Linked DNA regions of Schizosaccharomyces pombe. The gene in region 2 interacts genetically with the main gene of each other region. Each region holds a gene or a part of one and is shown on either strand. Other genes may lie near its edges.

Region 1 (5,861 bases), on a different chromosome or scaffold from region 2:
AAAAAAAAAAGGAAAAACGTACGCCCAAGATATTAGGATAGCTAGAATAACAATTAAGACACGAAGATAATTCTTCCTCCATTTAATTTTTCTGTTTCTTTTACCGCTTCTAGTGAAAATTCCCTGTTCAATGATAGCAATTGCAGGAAACAATTGCAATGGGGTACTAAGCAAAATTGCAATAGCATACAAGAATTGGATAATAACGGTGAAAGTACTCTCTGGCATATTCAAAATAACCACCGTTTTGACCTTTGAACCAAAAGCAGCGTAAGACAGCAACCCAATAGAAATAAACAAGAGAGAGATCGCTGCCATCACACCTGTGAGGAGCTTAGGTAAATTCTTTGGTTTAGCCATCTGTTCTTGGATAGGCAATATCAAACAAATTCCTTCGTAAGTAAAAATGGCAACACCAATAAATAAACTAAAATCAGTTTTGTTAAACATTGCAACATCGGCTATTCCTTTAGTGGCTAGCGTAATCACGTCCCAGAAATACAAATATAATATCCCTAGCAAAATAAAAACATCAGCAATTAAAGCAGTAGCAGAAAGTTTTGATATCTTGCGAACGAGCGATAGAGGGACAAATACCAAAAACTGAATAAAAATGAAAACAGCTAAATGGTATTCTCGGTGAGTAGTGGATATAACTTTTACACATGCTTGTAATGTGCTAGCAACAAACGAAATATAAGCACTCGAAAATCCAATCTTAATGCATTTAGTAAAATATTTAAATTTAAAAACTTACCTGTGAAACCACGATAGAAGCAAGAATAGCAAATCGCATATGAGGACCATATAAAGTTCCCCCAATATCACCAAAACTTCCAGGTACCTTCATTCGAGTCTGAATGAGAAGTAAGAAGCAAATATGAGACAATACTCCCACAATAAGAAGGGTCGCACTTGAAAATACCAATCCACCTAATTTAAAGCTAGACATCGGTTAATATTCTAGGAAATAATAAAATAAAAAAACGTTAATTCCATAAAACTTACGCTTTGGGAAGAAAGAGTACACCGGTACCAACAAATGACTTTAAAAGTAGAAGTACAGCTTTTCCGTTTGAAGCATTTCCAGGCGTCTGTAGTTTGTAACGTCCATGACGAGAAATCAAAGGTTCTTGCTCAGAGGGAACAGTAGAATGAATCAAAGAAGGATTAACGTCTCGAGGCATAGCAAAGTCGTCTGTATCCTCATCTTCATCTTCTTCGCTAAGTTCTTCACCTGCAAAGTGACCGTAAACAGAGAGGAACTCAATAAAGTTGCGATTTAAAAAATTGGGATTACCATGAGCATTACTGCTCATCGAAATGCTACTGGCACGATTACGAAGAAAATCACGTCTCATTCCACCAGCTTGTTTCATATCCTGAACACTTCGCAAATGAAGATTGGGGTCAGAAACCTTTGCACTAAACGAGCGAGAACGACCACGACGAATCTGCTTATTTTGATCTACTTCCTGTTGCCAACGATACACCTGGCGGTGCATATCACCGCCTTGAAGCTGAAGAGAAGAAAAATTATCATCATCTGCGGCTTGTCCACCTAAATGACGGCGAACAACATCGGGGTCTTCAGATGTACTGGGAACATTCTCGGAATGAGCTTCATCTGAATTTAGAGTTACATCTTTTCCTTTCCTAGAGTTGTGATTTTCGTCTCTGATAGATCCGTAGTTTACAGGTGTATCTGTCGTGTTCTCAGCAACATTGTTTGGCAAATTTGACTCAGAAGGGGAAATATTTAATTTAGGCTTGTGGAATCCTTCAGCCATGGGGGAATGGGACAATCGATGAATTTGCTGAGAGCGACGACTAGAGTAGGAACCAGAAGCGAAATTCTCGTTAGAACGAGGTTTCTTTATTTTTATAGACTGACTATTACTCATTCTAATTGAGGAAAGCAGCTAGCATAAGAACTTTTCAAGAAATCAGTGTAAGTACTGCAAATAATATGTAACGTAAAAATGAAATTTTCCAATAATAATAAGAAAAACAATGAAAAGTTAGCTAACGATATCAAGAAGGAAACTACAAAAAAAAAATATGTAAGACCCAAAGTATCTGTGCTGGGTAGAACCCACTTTTCATTATGCTGACAGTCTTCTGACGATGTTACTTTGAGCAATAAGTCACAGGTAAATTGTAGAAATATCCAGCCCGGACTGATTGTTGGTAATGGAGGAACTTAAATACAACTTCTTATTTTGATAACTTATATATAAGATATGTGTAAGTCAAGATATGTGAGTGGGGATATATACTTCCATTTCTTTCTCCTTTATTTAATATACAACAGACTTAATTTCATCTCTTTTAGCTCACTTGCAGTATATTCATCTTAGTTAAATAGATGTGTTTTTCAATTTGATCATTTTAAAGTTGCTTTTGCTTTTACATCTCATTTCCCTATTGTGTTCATTCAATGTCCTTCATTAACGACTAAAAATGAAAATAGTAACTTTACATCTAATATTCTAATGTAAAATAAACTAAACGAAAAAAGATACATACTGCTTGTTTAAAGGCACAAGGAATTAAATTACTTGATATTCGGTTATCGGTTAAGGCAAAATGGATTAGTTCGTACTTCTAAGTACCACCTTTTTTGCTTGCAGTCTACTTAACTTTCAACAAAACAAATTTGGTAACACAGTCTTTTTTGAAAATCACTCTTTTAAAAAAAGCAAAGGGTTATTTTGTATGAACATTGTTAAACGAGCAGTCCCAGAATTACTGAGAGGAATGACCAATGCAACACCAAATATCGGTTTGATTAAAAACAAGGTAGTAAGCTTTGAAGCTGTCGGACAACTCAAAAAATCTTTTTACAAAAGACAATTGCCTAAACAATGTTTAGCTTTTGATTCATCTCTCGGTAAAGATGTTTTTTTACGAGCATTGCAAGAGGGACGGATGGAAAATTATTTTTCGCTTGCACAGCAGATGGTAACCCAAAACGAACCAGCTTTTTGTGGATTGGGAACTCTCTGCATGATTCTTAATTCGCTTAAAGTTGACCCGGGTAGATTATGGAAGGGATCTTGGCGCTGGTATGATCAGTATATGCTTGATTGTTGTCGATCGCTAAGCGATATTGAAAAAGATGGTGTTACGCTAGAAGAGTTCTCTTGTTTAGCTAACTGCAATGGCCTTCGGACTATTACGAAATGTGTCAAAGATGTTAGCTTTGATGAATTTCGGAAAGACGTAATCTCTTGTTCTACCATTGAGAATAAAATTATGGCAATTTCATTTTGCCGGAAAGTGCTCGGTCAAACAGGCGATGGACATTTTAGTCCAGTTGGAGGCTTCAGTGAAAGTGATAACAAGATATTAATATTGGACGTTGCTCGATTTAAATATCCTTGCTACTGGGTGGATTTGAAGCTCATGTACGAGAGTATGTTTCCTATCGATAAAGCTAGCGGCCAACCTAGAGGCTATGTACTTTTAGAGCCAATGCATATTCCTTTAGGTGTGCTTACAGTCGGTTTAAACAAGTACAGCTGGCGAAACGTTTCCAAGCATATACTGCAGCAGGCGGCAACGGTAAAAAACGCAGACAATTTGGCTGAAATACTTTTATCCATTAATCAATCATCAATTCCTCTAATCCAAGAACGCTCCAACAGTTCAAAGTCTGGTGATTTCGAGCATTTTAAAGAATGTATTAGAAGCACAAAAACATATCATTTATTTCTGAAACATACGAATACCAATGTTGAATATATCACTATGGCTTTTTGGGCTATATTTTCCTTACCCATGATCCAAAAAGCGCTTCCCAAAGGCGTTCTAGAAGAGATTCAATCTTTATTGAAAGAAGTTGAAATTTCCGAAATTAACACTCAACTAACTGCGTTGAAAAAACAGCTTGATAGTTTAACCCATTGTTGTAAAACTGACACTGGGTGTTGTAGTTCAAGCTGCTGTAAAAATACGTGAATACTGGTAGAGATGGATATTTCTTCTCGTTGCTTATGAACTCAAAAAGTTTACATAGAGCCATGAACAAATTTTTTACAATTATTATTATTATTTTTGTTGTTGTTATTGTTACGCATTTATTTTATATTAAGGTCAATTCTAGAGAAAAGTATTACGCTCGTGCTTTCGTTTATAATCCAATCATTTCTTTTTTTTTGTGTGGTGTTGTTTTTCTGTCCATTCTAATTGAAGTGTAATGGTTTTCTAAGGCTAGTAATTTTATTTTATTTCAGGAACAATGGTTGAAAAAATCAATTATTCCGAATCAAACAGATTACAAAACAAAAACGATGCGTACTTTTAACAACTTTAAACAAGCAAGGAAGACAAATGAACAAAATTCTTCTCTGAAAACAGCGAGTAACTATGAAAGAGAGTGATCCGGTTGCATTAGAAATTAATAATTAGAGCGGTTTATTTGTGTTTGTATATGCACCATTGTCGTTGATTAATTACAACCCAGCATTGAGTAACTAGCATGTGCATGCAGTGAATACGGAAGTTAGTTTAACCAATAACTGCTAAAATAAAGACCCAAAGATTTTTTATTTTAAATCGAGAAAAACAAAAGCATAACTTAAAATTTATTATCAAATCGATGTACATACCCACTGCTCTTAACAAATAAGGGGATAGCCTTTCCTTTATATGGCCCCCACAAGGGACTTTATGAATATTGGATGCAGCTAGGAAATGTTAGGACAACCCCCACTCATGTTGATACAGCGATTTCGAGTAAACTGAGGGTAGCAGAACTAGTACTCGCAACCCCTATGCTCTCTCCCCCACATAGCCCCTTAAAAAAGATGGGAGATTGTTTTTAAAGACAAACACGAAACAACCCGAATGATGCGTCAAATTAGCTGGTTACCTATATGGAAAAACAACTTTGAAGCAGTGCTACTTATTCCTTCCAAAATTCATCCATACGCATGAATTTGAACGCATTAGAAATACTGATACGTTGGTCATGGTTGTGTTTTGAGTAATATGTAGCAGTATGACAATGCAACGCTTTCAATTTAATAATTCAAATATTGTTTTTCGTAATTGTGCAGAAACGAGGATTGAAAAACTCACAGAAAAAAAATAAAAATAAATCATACTAAATTAAATTAAATTAAATGTTCAGAAACGAAAATCACAAAGAATCCGAGAAACGCAACATTACAAGGTAAGGAGTTAAAAGATTGTATTACGACTTGGTTAGATTCAAGAGATCCATTATTAGTATATGTATTTACAAGTGTATGTGTATATGTACGTACATATTTTGCGCACCAGTTAGTTTGCGACTTATCTGATTAGTTTGTGCCACTCCTTGTAGTTTACATTCACCCACTTGCACGACTGTTTTTTTGTCAATGTTTAAATCCTTGTCACATCAACCAAAATAAAGTTATAAAAAAAAATACCATAGCGAAATATGTTACATTATAGAACGCTGTTAATTTTACCTCTCTGAAAATCAATTACCCTTCCCCCAAGGACCACTGCGAAGGCTCTGTTGGCGATATCAGCAAGTCTCGCTATTAGCAGACTGCCTTGGTCTGTTAAGATAAAAGTTAGAAAGCCATGCTTAGTGGGGAAGCCGTTCGAACAGTCAGTAGTGGCGATGCCAACTATATGAGCCATTTTTGCTTCCAGATGTTATAGACTGGGGAACCATGTTAAATTGACTCTCACTTCGCCGAAGAGCTTATCGAACGCGCGAGCAGCCAAAGTAACAAGAGCAAGGAAAAAATACTCAGAGCGGCAAAAAGCTGACAGATTGTGGTAAATGCAAATGTGACGACAATTTAGGTTGCTACAAACATTTTAACGATGAGTAGAGACAAAGTATTAGAGTATGACAG
Region 2 (6,882 bases):
CTCTAATGGTCCAGAGTGGATAAGCGAAAGTAATTCGGAAATTTTGTAGTCAACTGGCAAGTTACCAAGGATTAAAGCACGAAAATCTAACAAGGATTCGTATTCTGAATTGAATGGTGAAAATTGCTCCGCAGGTTGTTGGGCAAACGGAGGAGGAGTACCTTCTCGAGGTAGGAAATTTGGACGGTTTACAGGTTTTGCATGATACATATTGTCGGTATAGTGGGCATAGGGCATCGGTATGAAGGTGTTTGCTGAAACATACATGTTGGGGTAATAGGTTGAAGGTGGAGAAGGATAAATGACTGAAGAAGAGTCCTGGTCAAAATGAGGATAACAAGGAGAATCGAGTTGTTCGGGAGGGGGATTCATTGATTTAGGAGCATACCCATTATGAGATTTCGGAATAAATTCTGCGGCATTGATGTTTACATGGAAAGAAGGATTAGGTGAAAGATTTTTGTGCTTTTTACCACCACAGTCAAGGTTGGTACATTCATTATTGTCCACTGAATTAAGACTACTGTTATCATCTTCTGAATCATTTAAAGTGCAAATGCTGTTGGCCGTGCCAGTACTTCCTGTCTCTTGAAAGCAGCAATCACTATCAACGAAGTGACCGTTGTTTGCTTGGTCTTTTTCAAGAACACGGTCGGTCTCAACTTCACTTCCGGCACAGCCAATTTTGTGCATAATAGCCATTATAGTGTTAAAAAAAAAGAATTGAGTGAGAATATGGATGCTTCAAAATATAGAGTGCTTTAGACTGATGAGTTTCGCTTCAAAATTAGTATCGATTTAAATGCTGTATTCGATGGTCAAAACTGGTGAGAGGGACACTTATTTATAGATAAAAAAAATCATATCGTGTCAAGTTTTCGTAACAGCTAAGCACCATTTCAAATGTAAACATTGCTATTTTCGCAAGCATTCCCCGCAAAGCTGTCCCACATTTCTTAAATAGAAGGACGAATCAAAAGGCACAAAGTTGCAACTCTAAAACGTCAGGATGGCCCACAAACGACGAATGCGACGGTAAATCCGCTGCCACTCTTCGCTAAAGTCGACGTAATGTACTTATTTTAGCGAGGCTTAATAGTTAAAATTACTTACGTCCAATCATAGTTGTCCCTTTAAGTTATTCGGTTCTTATTATGACTGCACAGTGACTACCACCAATTCCTCGCGAATAGTACAGTCATGATAAAGGGCTGGTAGACAGCCATTTCTAAGCCTTGAAATTACCTTTAATAAAAACCTCGAGAGCCAATAGACTTTTTGGGTGCAAGATTTACGATTAGCCAGCCTTCCCCCGCCTTTTAAACTGCCAGAGCAAAATTAAGAGTAGATAGGTATCCCCCATATCCCTTATACCGAGCAATGCAAATACTGATCCAAGGCAACAATACCATCAACCTTACGAAGAGTACTCAAAAATATTGTTAAAGAATTACGTATACTGTGTTAGATGCTTCAAATTGCCCGTCCACTTCTAGCATGATTGTTGCTGTTTTGAAGTTATCGACATTGTGGTTCATAAGGTTTTAGCTTCATAAAGCCTATTATATAATGTGATGCGTTTCGTTAGATAGTAAAAAAGTTCGGCTAGGGCTATACTTAATGCTTATTCATAAATTGGTGTAGACTGTATTCTGTCACAATGATGTACGTTGAGGCTTGATCTGATAAAAAAATTTGGAAAGAAAATAACGATGTCAGTAAGTTAAAAGTAGTTAAATTTGAAGTTCTTCTGAATATTTCAACCATTAATTAAAAATATTAATTTTAAAAAATAGAAGTCTTTAATGAGTTTATCATTTCTAGGCCGTTAGCGAAAGTCAGAGTTTGAAGGTGTGTTATGCAATTAAATATTGTAACTTTTGCTTGAAAGCCTCTTCAAATAAAAAGGATTTGTTACGTGTTTCTTTAAAACTTTTCGAAGGTTCCAGATACTAGGTTATTGCATTCAAGCTCATCAATTTTAGATTTGTATACCCAACATTGCCAGTCAACATCAAGTTCAGCCGCCTTTTATCTATATTTTAAGAAGACCCTTTACAAGTTGTTACTATGCCGTTGAAATTTGTAAAGCTTTCAATACAAGTAAGTACATTATTTGTTCCTCTATCGTGGCCGATGAAGGATGTATGCCTTAAGCTACGATCTTGTAAGGAGGTTAAGACTCTTAACAAAAAAAAAAGTTGAAACAAAATATACAAAATTCATACTGATTTTCTGCTTTCGAAAGGCTCCGTAAGTGGGGTAGTTTGGTACCGTATAGGAGGTATTCTTACCTCACCATTGTCACTCTTAACCTCTACACCACTTAACCTCAGTCAAACCAAATTAGCAATTGAAGCAGTAACAATTTAAAATTATCAAGTTACTTTTACCTAAAGTTTTATTAATCAAACTGGCATTTCTTTTTTGATTTTTTTGTAATGGTTCTACGTTACAACAGCCCACGCCTCAATATTCTTGAGCTGGTCCTTCTATATGTCGGATTTTTTAGTATTGGGTCCTTGAACTTACTGCAGAAAAGGAAAGCTACTTCTGATCCTTATCGTAGGAAAAATCGCTTCGGCAAAGAACCTATAGGAATAATTTCCTGGTGGATATTGGGAATTGCATTAACCTACGTACGTATTTCAAGCATTTTTCTTAAAAAATATATATATATATATATATAAGTATATTTTGAAAGAAAAATGTTTATGTTTAATTGTTTAACCTCGCTTCATATTGCTAATTTCATTTTTAGGTCGTTGATATCAGCAATCTTGTCATCTACGCATTGCGAGTTCCAAATTGGTGGCCCTGTAAAACCACTGTTGTCTGTTTAATTCTCTTCCTTTTATTTTGGATAATTGTACTTATCTCATGCGCAGATTCTAAAGCTCTTCCAAAAAATGCGGATTCCATACTAAAGGCCTACCGCCTTAGCGTCTTGTACGTTTGGGCTATAGACATTGTATTTGAAACAATTTTCATTGTCTACAGTCCTCATCCAAATGAAACATTTCAAGGAATTGTATTGGCGGACCATGTAGCCCGATTGGTCTTATGTGTTTTCGCTACAGCTATATATCTAACTTATAGACGAAAGAGACATACGCACGATCCCCTGGATTTTGAGGAGCGTCAATTAACAGAAGAGTCAAACGTTAATGAGAATGCTATCTCTCAAAATCCCTCGACCGTTCAGCTCGGTGTATCGGCATCAACCTCGAATTTTGGTACACTCAAATCAACATCGAAAAAACCTAGTGATAAATCTTGGGCAGAATATTTCCGTTCTTTCTCTACTTTACTTCCCTATCTCTGGCCGACAAAAGATTACCGACTTCAGTTTCAGATTTTCATTTGCATAGTTTTACTCTTTTTGGGGCGAGCTGTTAACATACTTGCTCCCCGACAACTGGGTGTGTTAACTGAAAAGCTCACAAAACATAGTGAGAAAATTCCTTGGTCTGATGTTATTCTATTCGTTATCTATCGTTTTTTGCAAGGAAATATGGGAGTAATTGGTTCTCTTCGATCTTTCTTATGGGTTCCTGTCTCTCAATATGCTTATAGAGCGATATCAACTAAGGCTTTGAGACATGTTCTAAACCTGTCATACGATTTTCATTTGAATAAACGTGCTGGTGAGGTTTTGACCGCCTTAACTAAAGGAAGTTCGTTGAATACGTTTGCAGAACAAGTTGTGTTTCAGATTGGGCCTGTTTTGTTGGATTTGGGAGTAGCCATGGTATACTTTTTTATTAAGTTTGACATTTATTTTACGCTTATTGTGTTAATTATGACACTTTGTTACTGTTACGTTACGGTCAAAATTACATCTTGGCGTACCGAGGCTAGAAGAAAGATGGTTAATAGCTGGCGCGAGAGTTATGCTGTGCAAAATGACGCGATTATGAATTTCGAAACCGTTAAAAATTTTGATGCAGATGACTTTGAAAATGAACGATACGGTCATGCTGTGGATATTTATCTTAAGCAAGAGCGGAAGGTACTATTTAGCCTTAATTTTTTAAATATCGTTCAAGGTGGAATATTTACATTCAGCTTGGCAATTGCTTGTCTATTAAGTGCTTATAGAGTAACATTCGGCTTTAACACTGTCGGTGATTTTGTCATACTTTTGACATACATGATTCAGCTACAGCAGCCTCTTAATTTTTTCGGAACTTTATATCGTTCATTGCAAAATAGCATCATCGATACAGAAAGACTACTTGAAATTTTTGAGGAGAAACCTACTGTGGTGGAGAAACCAAATGCCCCAGATCTTAAAGTCACTCAAGGTAAGGTAATATTCTCTCATGTTTCATTTGCATATGATCCACGAAAACCTGTTTTATCAGATATCAATTTTGTTGCACAACCAGGAAAAGTTATTGCGTTAGTGGGAGAATCAGGTGGTGGGAAATCTACAATTATGAGAATTCTTTTACGATTCTTCGATGTCAACTCGGGATCCATAACCATTGATGATCAAGACATACGAAATGTTACGTTGTCTAGTCTTCGATCTTCAATAGGTGTAGTTCCCCAAGATAGTACCCTTTTTAATGATACTATTCTTTACAATATTAAATATGCTAAACCTTCTGCGACCAATGAGGAGATTTATGCTGCTGCTAAGGCTGCTCAAATTCACGATCGTATATTACAATTCCCAGATGGTTATAATTCTCGTGTCGGAGAAAGAGGCTTAAAGTTAAGCGGTGGTGAAAAACAACGTGTAGCAGTTGCCAGAGCTATCTTAAAAGATCCTTCAATTATCCTTCTCGATGAAGCTACTTCTGCTCTGGACACAAATACTGAGCGACAAATCCAGGCAGCCTTGAATAGACTTGCATCTGGCCGAACTGCTATAGTAATCGCTCACAGGCTCTCCACCATCACCAATGCAGACTTAATTCTTTGTATTTCGAATGGTAGAATCGTTGAGACTGGCACACACGAAGAGTTAATAAAGCGTGACGGCGGAGCTTACAAAAAAATGTGGTTTCAACAAGCAATGGGAAAAACTTCTGCTGAAACTCATTAATCTAAGCATAATAACAAGCCTTTACTAATTTTGGTAGTTATGACTAATTTAAAAGGAGAATTAAAATACACTAACTTTGATTGTGAGTAATGCTGCTCCTTTCACAGAAACATTATGGTACTAAAAATTTTATCACTAAATTCCATACCAATGAATTTCTATTATTAATTAATTTATTAAATCGTAGTATGTATAAGTACCAAAAATAATCCCAAAACCTAACCCGATTATTTTTTTCTGCAAGTCTTAACTGCAAAGCTTTTGTACAATTTAAGTATTACTCATCTGCTGAAACCATTGACGAAGTGCAGAAGACAAAAGTTGCGGCAATTCTTCGATGTTACGAACCACCAAATAGTAATCAAAAGCAAACTCATCTATATATGGCTGAATTTTTAAATCCATAGTACCATCTTCTTTAGTGTCGTAGTAAACCTTTTTAATATCAAGGATGGACGACTTTTTCTGGGTGTTAACATTGTCAAGAATAACAAACACAATCATCACTTTTTCTTCTTGAGCACGCCTTAGCAGTTTCCGAATGCTATCATGATCTTCACAAATACCGTCTGAAATTATGATTTCTAACTGCCTTATGTCCGAGTTAGATCTATGATGGGAAGCCGTATTGGCATAGTTAAAGCATTTCATAGAAGCATCGGCGAGAGCCAAAACATTGGTATTACTTTGCTCAAATGTAAAATGCGAAAACATTTGTACACCACTTTCAGATGAAAACTGTTTGTCGAAAGGATGCAACAATTCAGGTTGCTCCCCAAATTTCATCACTGCAATTTGTCCAACTTCAAGTAATGATAATGCTTTTGTTACCAAAGCTAAAGTCTCTAACGCTAGAACTGTGCTGCCCGACTCACTCATCGACTTAGAATCATCAATGGAAATCATCACTTGATACGTCCTTTTACTAGGTTTAACACGACGCATCCATATCTTGTCTTTCTTGAACTGAGAAGCAATATATGGGATGATTCGTTTCATATTCAACCGTTTACCCGTACGAAAGTCTCCTTGCATCTTAGTGGCCAAGGTTGGTTCTAATATCAATCGAAGCTGTTCACATAACTCAATAGAAAGTTGCTTTGTAGAGTCCTCGTGTTTATTCCATAAATCACGAGCTTCATCAATGGGCATTGCAGCAGGAAGGTTAGTAATCTTCACATTATAATCAGGAAGTTCATCTTCAATATCCTCATCCTCCGATAATTCAAAAACCTTCTCAGACTGGTTGATAGACCCAAATTCCGTTGGAAGGGTATCTTCACCAGTCTGCTTGATATCTGAAATATCCTGACCATCTTGTAATTGTTTGTCTCCAACTTCATCAGCTTCATCTTCAGCAATGTTTGTACTGTTCATTGAGTCTGGATTCTGATTAGCAGACTCATCTCGATCAATACTCTTAATTTGATCTTTTTCGGCATTTCCCAAAGCTTGCAAATCCTCTTCCTCATCCTCTTTAACATGCATAAATTCAGAATCGTCAAATGCTTGACTTTGCGATTCAGTAAGATCCTCCCATTCGTGAATACGATTGGCCTGTTGCCATTCTCTAAGATGATCACCAAGGCTTTGATATTGTCGATCCGCCTCACTCATTGCTTCTTTAGGGGTTGAAGTGTCTTCCCCTTTCTGAACTTGCTCTGCTGATGAAAATTCTCCGTCAGCAGTTCCATTACCTCGAACTCCAGATTCTGCTGCTCCATCTTCTTCACCCAATTCTTCATTTTCTCCAACAATGCCTTTATCTGTATTTTCTTCATCAGCTTCTGCAGATGCAAAAGTAGATTTCGCATCCATTTTAGGAT
Region 3 (8,471 bases), on a different chromosome or scaffold from region 2:
TGAGAAAAGGACATCAAAAGGAATTCGCGATTTTCTCTTAAACTTTAATACAGTGCTTATCATTGATTTTAACTACATAATAATAGAGTTTCATTTCATTCTATAATGAGATAACTATAGTAGGTTACGAAAAAAAAAGTAGCCAAATTAAATCTGATGAAGTGAATATTGGCATAAAAAGAAGGAAAAAATCGGTAACAACTCTTCCTAACTTTTTTTTCTAAAATCAACGGATAAATGATATCAAAGCGGCAAAACGTTAGGCTCCAATATAAATGTCAAAAGGTGTAAGAAACAAAAAAGAAAGATTTTTTTAGGAAACTTTGCAGAACTTATATATCCTTTGAAAAGAAAAAATCTTCAATCATATATAGTTAATAAATCTTCCTTTTCAACAAAAGGTTATCTTGTAAGTGAGCAGCGTGCATGCTTTTTTCGAAACAGAGATATGCTGAATACAAGGGAAGAAAAAATATAACATGATTCGGATAAATTGTCTTTTAGCAAGTTGAGAAAAAATAGTATATAAATTACCAAGAAACCAGTAACTTGTAAATCTAACAAAATGAGAATTTGCTTAGGAATAACAGTTTCGGGATTTTCATAAAATTAATTAGAAGCATTTTAAATTAGCAAACGACCTGTGAACTCAAATAAGTCCACTCTCTTTTGCGAGGGAATAAAACAAAGATGCTTTATTTTCCAGCAGCTTTTTCGTTGAATCAAATTCGACTACCTTACCATGATCCAATACTAATATACGATTCGAATCCATCACAGTATTAATACGGTGAGCAATGGTCAAAATGGTACGATCGTTAAAGCGTTCACGAATTGTGCGTTGCACAATAGCATCTGTTTCAACATCAACAGCTGCAGTAGCTTCATCTAATAATAATACGCGTGTGGGTGTCAATAATGCCCTTGTCAAGCACATCAGCTGGCGTTGGCCTGACGAAAGATTGGCTCCTCCTTCTGTAACACGGGAATACAACCCGCCGTCAAGAGTCTGGATGAATTGTTTTAAGGAAGCAGCTTCGAGAGCATGCCAAATCTCTTCATCGGTAGCATTAGCATTAGGATCGAGATTCTCACGAATTGTACCTTCGAAAGCTTGATTTTCTTGTGGGATAATAGCAAGTCTGGAGCGTAAATCGTGTAATCCAATCGAAGTAATATTGATATCATCCAATTGTATGTCTCCTGATGTTGGCTCAATTAATCTAAACAATGCAAGCGTCAAAGTCGACTTTCCTGCTCCTGTACGACCGACAATACCAATCTTTTCTTGTGGTTTAATGTTAACACTTATATCGTTTAGGACTAGTGGAAGATTTTCACGATATCTGACACTGTAGTGATCAAATTTAATTGCACCATGGGAAGGCCATCCTTCTGGAGGACGATGATCTGGAATAATGGAGGGTGCCTCACTTGGAAGACCAATGTATTCCAGCATTCGTTCGACTGAAACAATGTTTGTTTCTACATCAACAGACTGTCTTACGACAAAGGTTAAACTTTGGGTAATCTGTACGGCATAAGACAACGAAAGACCCACTAAACCAGAATTAGGATTTCCACGGACTGCGGAGAGAACTCCAAAAAATGCAGATGAAAATACCACCAAAGCGCCTATTGCTTCAACACGAATTGCCTGCCATCTATTTGAACTGAAGTACAAGAACCAAATTCGGTGATTGGTATCAACACGAATATCGTTCTCCGAGATAAATGTATCTTCCATGTCATAAGCACGAATAGTTGACAACCCACCCAAAGACTCTTGGAAATGAGCATATAAAGGACTGCGAGTAACGCTATCAAGCCTTTTTAGCTCTCGAGAAGTTTGAGTATAATAAACTTGATTGTAACGATACAGAAAGAATAATGGAACAATTAGGATCATAAACATAGGAGAAGAATAGCAAATAACTGCTAGTACGAAAACTATTTGAAAGAGATTTCTGAAGAAAAACATAAAAACTCTAGAAATAACTTCGTCCACACGGTAAACATCGCTGGAAAATCGGTTTAATATTCGACCAGTTGGCGTGGTTTCAAAAAAGCTCATGGGAGCACGCAAAACCGCCTTTACCATTGAATCATGTAGATAACGACAGCTTTTAATAGCACAAAACACGGTAATGGTTAAGCTGCTAAGAGAAATCAATGCACAAGAAAGAAGACCAAACAATGTGTATATACCCAAGTAAAAGTATGGTTTAGGATTATAACCTAATTGTGTATTTACCTCACTCCAATGTTTAAGCCAAACATTAGTACCAACATTCATACCAATACCACCAATAATGAAAAGGAAATACAAGAAGATTAAAAACAAAGAGCACGCTTTAAAGTACGTCCAGTATACTTTCCACTTTACCTTACCACGTTCCATTTTCTCAGCAGCTTGTCCAGTAGCTTTGACATTGTCCTCGTCGGTTAACCTTTTACGGATCCTACCTGTTCCTTTTATGGTGGCCTTTGGATAATTGCTAACTGTGTCAGAAGAACGGCTAGCTGAACTCGTGACATCGGTAGAAGAAGTAATTACAGATTGAGAACGGGAGAGAGGAGTATCGGCTCCAGTAGATGATGCGGTATCCTTCTTGCTAAATTCCGAAAGTAATTGAAACAATTGGGAGTCTGGCGAAGAAGATAATTGAGTGAAGCTTCCACTCTCTATTATTTTACCATTTCTTAACATATAAATCATGCTGGCTTCTTTTAAAACGGTTAAGGAGTTAGTTGAAAGAATAACGCATCGTGATCTGAGTAAACCTTTTGAACCTAAAAGATTCCTAACTAAATCTCTATTAACATGCTGGTCAACAGCAGATAAAATGTCATCAAGAAGATAAATATCTGAGCGAGAATAAACAGCACGAGCAAGAGAAATACGTGCCTTCTGACCTCCAGATAAAGATATACCTTTCTCGCCAACTTCCGTTTGATCTCCATCAGCAAGTATCTCAAAATCACGCAACAAACAACAAGCACGAATGGTTTTTTCATAAAACTCAGGATCCAGTTCAAGGCCAAAGAGGATATTCTCCTGAATAGTAGCATTCAAAATCCAGGGTTGCTGAGCTGCATACGCGATGGAACCACAGCGGAACACGGAGCCAGAATGCTTCTGCATGTTGCCCAAACAAGCTTCAAGCAAAGATGATTTACCCATTCCAACTTTACCAACTATGCAACATAGCTCACCCCTTCTAGCCACAAAATCAATATCACGTAAAGTAGGTTCTGCGGCATTTTGTCCAGGACCGGACCAACTAAATGTACCCTTTTTAATTTCTAAACAAACTCCGGATGGTTCTTTGTTAGCTGGGTAGCGTTGAACAGCGTTGGAGTCCAATTCACCTGCAGTGAGAAACCCATAGATACGAGAAATAGCAACAGATGCCTCTAAAACTGAACTGACAACAATAGGCAACATGGTTAACGGAAATTGTAACAAATTGAAAAGACTCAAACAAGCAAAGACTATATCAACTGAAAGCACACGTGTCTTTCCATACAGAACAATGAAAGTACCAAACGTTGCGGCTGATACAAGAATAGGAGCAAAAAGCCAGGTAAAGTTGCCAATAGTGTTGACAATTCCAATCTTTTTCAACATGCGCAATTCTCTGGTATTCCTTAACTGCAGCAATTTTTGAAGGAATATGTTTTCCCAAGCATACAACTTAATGCTGCGAATATTGTTAATAATTTCAGTCATAAACTGAGAACGTGCGTCTTTATTTTTCATTTGTCTATTTTGAAACCTTTTAAAGATACTTGCAATCACAACATTACAAGGAAATAGTAAGAATGTCACAAAAGCCCCAGAGAGCGCACCGTATCCTACAAGATGGTACAAATTTGTGAGAGCTAGTACAATTTGGAAAGGACCCGATACAATAACAAACAAAAACATAGTTAAATCACAAACTTTTTGAGTGTCGACAGACATGTAATTTACGATATCTCCAACAGATCGACTTTGACGAGCCGCACTTGAGAGACGTAAGGATTTGCGATAGATAGCAGTAATCAATTCGGACCTCCATCTCATGCCAAGTACCATGCCAAGTTGGAAATATTGTTGTAACAATGCGGTTTGTACGACGTTGGTTAAAAACATAGCGATTGCAAGACTGAAACCTACTTGAGGAGGTTGTGGATGCTCAGAAGAATAGGAGCTAACAAAAATAACAATCTTCCTAATTAAATTTGGCTGAATAAACGCTACAACGTCTTGCACCAACTTCAAAACGATAATAACAACGGTAAGCTTCCAATGGTTTAAAAACAAAACACCCCACATGTAAAGACTACTTTTTTTCTTTTTTGCATGGGAAATCCAATTCTTTTCAAAAACAATAGTCAGATTGCTGGAACGTTCGGCAGGAGGAAGAGACCAAGCATCTGATTCAGTAAGATAATTTCTGTAACCAAACTTCATAAGAGGGCTAAGCCAACCAAATGATATCCTTGAAAAAATGTTGGCATAGGTAAACCGAGATGGTCTTAATCCAGTCTCTTCCAACTCAGCTGCATCATCGGGATACCAAACTCGGTTGGCAGGAGGCACGTAGATTTCAGCTAGAAGGCATACCAATGAGCAAAAAAAAGTAATGGAGGGAACTACGTTAAGCATAGGGAACATTGTATAATTAGGACGAAGTAATAAAACCAGAGCCGAGGCTAAAAACTTAAAAAGCCAAAACATCAACAAAGAGGCCATAGGTATTCGCAACGTAGGCTGCTCCACAACATGCAAAAACAAAGCAAGAAAATAAGTTATAATGCTTAATACATTCCATACACTTTCATTCGTTTTATAACAGTCATAAATATGGGTGAAAAGGAGAACCATAATAACTAAAGACTTCAGCCATATTGTCCAAAATCTTCGAAAATGAAAATAATGAGACCTTTTTCTAACCTCATAGAAGTACTGCAGACATCCACTGATAAGAAGGTAAATGTTTGGAGCAAGCCAAGTTGCCGATAGAAATGTGAATCCTTTGTAAGCAGAATTCATCCAATTTCCACCTACAAAAGGATCTAAATCCTGTTCAAGAACCATTTTGATAATACAGTATTAAACTGATTCAAATTCCCTGAAACAGTTATTTCCTGCGAATGTAACAAAACCTGAAGAGTGTTGGCTGAAGATAAGTGGCTTACAAAGTATAAATTTGTGGTGGTATGAATGAACATGTTCGTAATACATTTCGATTCAGTAACTAACAACAAAATATTACTAAATTTTTATGAGCAACTAGATATATTAATGGAATCCCTTAATATATTTTAATCTATCTAATGAGTTTATAATTTCATCGTTGAATTGACTAACCTTTCACAAAACGAATCTACATATTAAATATGGTTTTGACAGTTATGATTTTTAATCTAATGATATTCACTGTAAACAAATGTTTCTTAAACCTTTAAAAACAAGTTTTACAGTCATGGTAACTTCAAAGCAATTTCTAATCAGATTAAATTCAGATTCTAAATTACTATGCAATGTAAGTTGAAAATAAAATATGTATATAAGTTAAAAGTATTGTAAACCATATAGTTAGACTATAAACGTGGACCTCAAGGGAAAGTAGGATCAAAGTAAATGGAAATATATAAAAAAATGCAAAAAATGATAGGGAAATAATTGCATTAGAAAAGGAGAGTTATTTTACGATTCACTATTCTCTTCTACATCAAGTTCTGAATCAAAACTCCTAGCAGCTTGCTTCCAAAGCTCAACACTGCGCCATGCACGTTCGCATTCCGATTTTAACCGTGCGTTCTCCCTAGCTAGTTCTTGAATAGTATGATCAGCAACAAGTTTCTCCAAATTTGATTTTTCACGACACATTTCCTCCATTTCTTTAAGGGATCGAATATATTGAGCAGTCCTTTGAAGGATACTACCTTTATTTTTCTCACATCCAGGAACGATGTTCGCCAACTCTTTAATTCCCTCACTTATGGCTTCTCTTCTTCTACGCTCTACTTCTTTGTGACTTAATCTTTTAGCTTTATACCATTCCTCGCTTCCAACACATGGTTTTTCCATAGTCGTATTACCACTAGAAGCTACCGTTGAAGTCGTGGAATTTTTATGGGCTGTATTTTTCTTGGGAAAATCAATCTTTTCAGAGGGATAAGGATTATAACTAACGGCATGAGCATAAAAATCGTTATAAACTATGTCATTAGTAAAACCTGTGAGTTGTTCGACTTGTCCTGGTCCTGATAAAGGAGGAAGCAGATGATTTATGGACATATCTCTTTGCATTTTCTAGCCGAATTTATTATCTCATAAAACAAAGAAAATTTCTATAATAGAAATGAATTTTTTACAAGCATGAAGATAATGTAATGATTGAAGTGTTACCGCTGATGAATCCAGCCAATGTATTTGAACACTTTCGTAGTAAACCAGCAATGTAATGATAAGGGAGAATGAACAGTCTAGTAAAGAGATGAAAACACAAGGTAGTTTATGAGTACATATAGTAGCTTGACAAGAGTATCTTGATAAATGGGATTCTAAGGATAAATAGATAAAAGGTTTCTGAAGACTGGAAGTTTAAAAAAATTCCAAAACGTTAGATATGTAAAACAGGAATAAAAAAAATAAATATAGAATAAACGATGATTGTGCTTAAAGGCTGTCCAAAATTAAAGCGTTGATTTTCGCATCAACTCAAATTAAAAAAATTAAAACGAACTGCTATCAGTCGCAAAGGGTGAAACAGGTGTTCAATTAGTTCAAAGAACTTTTTCCTGTTCTTTCTAATGGAATGTTTAAAAATAATGTTGCAAAATGATAGTGGTAATCAAAGGCACTTCACGGATCCCTAACATTGACAAGCGTGATAAAATATTGCACTCTTAATTACCAAACTTAAAAGAAGAGTAGCAAATGTATTTTAAAAAGCACTTAAATGTTCAAATAGCTCAAAAAAGCAATTCACATCAAACTTTTAACATGAAGCGAGGTTCATTGTTGATAAAACACGTCTGTAAACCGCGTTGATATTACTAAGTAGAATCACTTAAGGAAGGGCTACGCTGCCCTCGTTTAATTAAAAACAACGCATTTACCAAACCTACTTTATTTTTATTTAGTGTCAGCTACGCAGTTTGATATCTATTTAACGATATGCAAAACTGCGTTGAGTTTTCCTTCTGACTACTATATTGCAACACACAGGTAATATTTGTAGCATCTGAGTTAGGTATTCTATTATGTAGGTTATATTTGTTATCTATCACTAATGTAATTTATAACTGAACCTCGTTTCTCATTTCATCTATGTCCCTTTATAGTATTCAGATAATATAGAACTTTAGATTATCACTAAGATCAGCCTCAATATAGTACCATTTATGGTACTATATATAATTAGTACGTGTGATATACAGTGATACACAACGTATAACATAATGTAGTGTAGTAATTTTACTACATTACATTTAAATGCGATGAGTTTTATTGTAACTATAAAGCCGTATGCATGAAGTATGAGAAGTACAGATGTAATAAATAATGTTGTAGAAAGAGAAATGTTAACTAATCGTTGCTTACTTAGCTTAATTTGTCGTACCAGCTCCATTCTATGATTTAATATTGCTTGTCATATGTTTGTTGCAAACGGCATATGAATATCCTAAAATCTAATAACTGTTAGCAATAGCAGACTACACTGTACTGCATCACTACATCGCACGTTATAAATTTACCTATTCACTGTAACTAAGAGATGATGTTGATAATGGATTTGCGAGCCGAAAGATAACTAATTACAAATTATAAAAGGTACCCAATTGGTTTCCCTTCTTCCTTTCAGATATTTCAATCATAATTTATAATAGCATATTCCTTTGGATGAACTACAATTGAACTGTTCATACTACCTTACATAACGAAAATAGAAGATCGCAAGAAACTTAACGGTGTTCTAACGGAAAGATAAACTAGGTTACGAAAGTGAACACTTCATAACTTAGTACGAAGTGTAAAATAAGTCGATAAAAAAGCATTGCTCCAGCAGTGACTCGAACACTGGGCCTCTTGCTTACTAGGCAAGCGCTCTACCACTGAGCTACAAGAGCTATTGTTAAGTCGATTCTTTTAGTTTAACTTGTTACAACTAAACGTCCTAAAATGATAAGTTATTAAAGGAAAGATGTGTTAAAACGAACAGTCAAAAATAGTAAAAAGCGGCAAACAGTAGGTAACCAAATTTTTAAAAAACCAATTCTCTGTATTAGCAAAGGAATATATTATCAAAACGTATTACATATTTAGCAAAGCAACCGTTTTATTTTCCTGATGCAACACAAAACAATTTACTAAATTTAATATGACTATACGTTATATTTTTTTGCGTGTAGAAGTTTCAATACCATTATTGCAATCATACATGAATGAAGCGAATACACAATCAAGGAACATA

The links.
Region 1: of hmt1 (region 2) and pcs2, extra expression of one rescues a mutant of the other (dosage rescue), as found in Schizosaccharomyces pombe (one study listed by BioGRID).
Region 3: mutations in hmt1 (region 2) and abc2 are lethal when combined (synthetic lethality), as found in Schizosaccharomyces pombe (one study listed by BioGRID).

The regions. Positions count from the first base shown.
Region 1 is NC_003424.3:1,947,038-1,952,898, forward strand, and holds pcs2 (phytochelatin synthetase), read left to right. Parts: upstream 1-2,640; 5' UTR 2,641-2,718; coding exon 2,719-3,963; 3' UTR 3,964-4,471; downstream 4,472-5,861. Other genes in the region: vacuolar amino acid transmembrane transporter Avt3, read right to left, coding at 23-717, 758-944, 1,009-1,904.
Region 2 is NC_003421.2:1,913,102-1,919,983, reverse strand, and holds hmt1 (vacuolar phytochelatin and glutathione S-conjugate ABC family transmembrane transporter Hmt1), read left to right. Parts: upstream 1-2,312; 5' UTR 2,313-2,441; coding exon 2,442-2,639; intron 2,640-2,761; coding exon 2,762-5,056; 3' UTR 5,057-5,228; downstream 5,229-6,882. Other genes in the region: mug24 (rrm type RNA-binding protein), read right to left, coding at 1-702; mdn1 (midasin), read right to left, coding at 5,327-6,882. UniProt on the Schizosaccharomyces pombe protein: Involved in metal tolerance. Probably involved in the transport of metal-bound phytochelatins. Compartmentalizes cadmium within vacuoles, thereby protecting cells from cadmium toxicity.
Region 3 is NC_003424.3:2,836,619-2,845,089, forward strand, and holds abc2 (vacuolar phytochelatin and glutathione S-conjugate ABC family transmembrane transporter Abc2), read right to left. Parts: upstream 5,171-8,471; 5' UTR 5,087-5,170; coding exon 650-5,086; 3' UTR 503-649; downstream 1-502. Other genes in the region: SPOM_SPAC3F10.12C (transcription factor), read right to left, coding at 5,699-6,304. UniProt on the Schizosaccharomyces pombe protein: Involved in vacuolar sequestration of glutathione S-conjugates. Together with abc4, required for accumulation of a red pigment (ade pigment) in the vacuole of a mutant affected in the adenine biosynthetic pathway.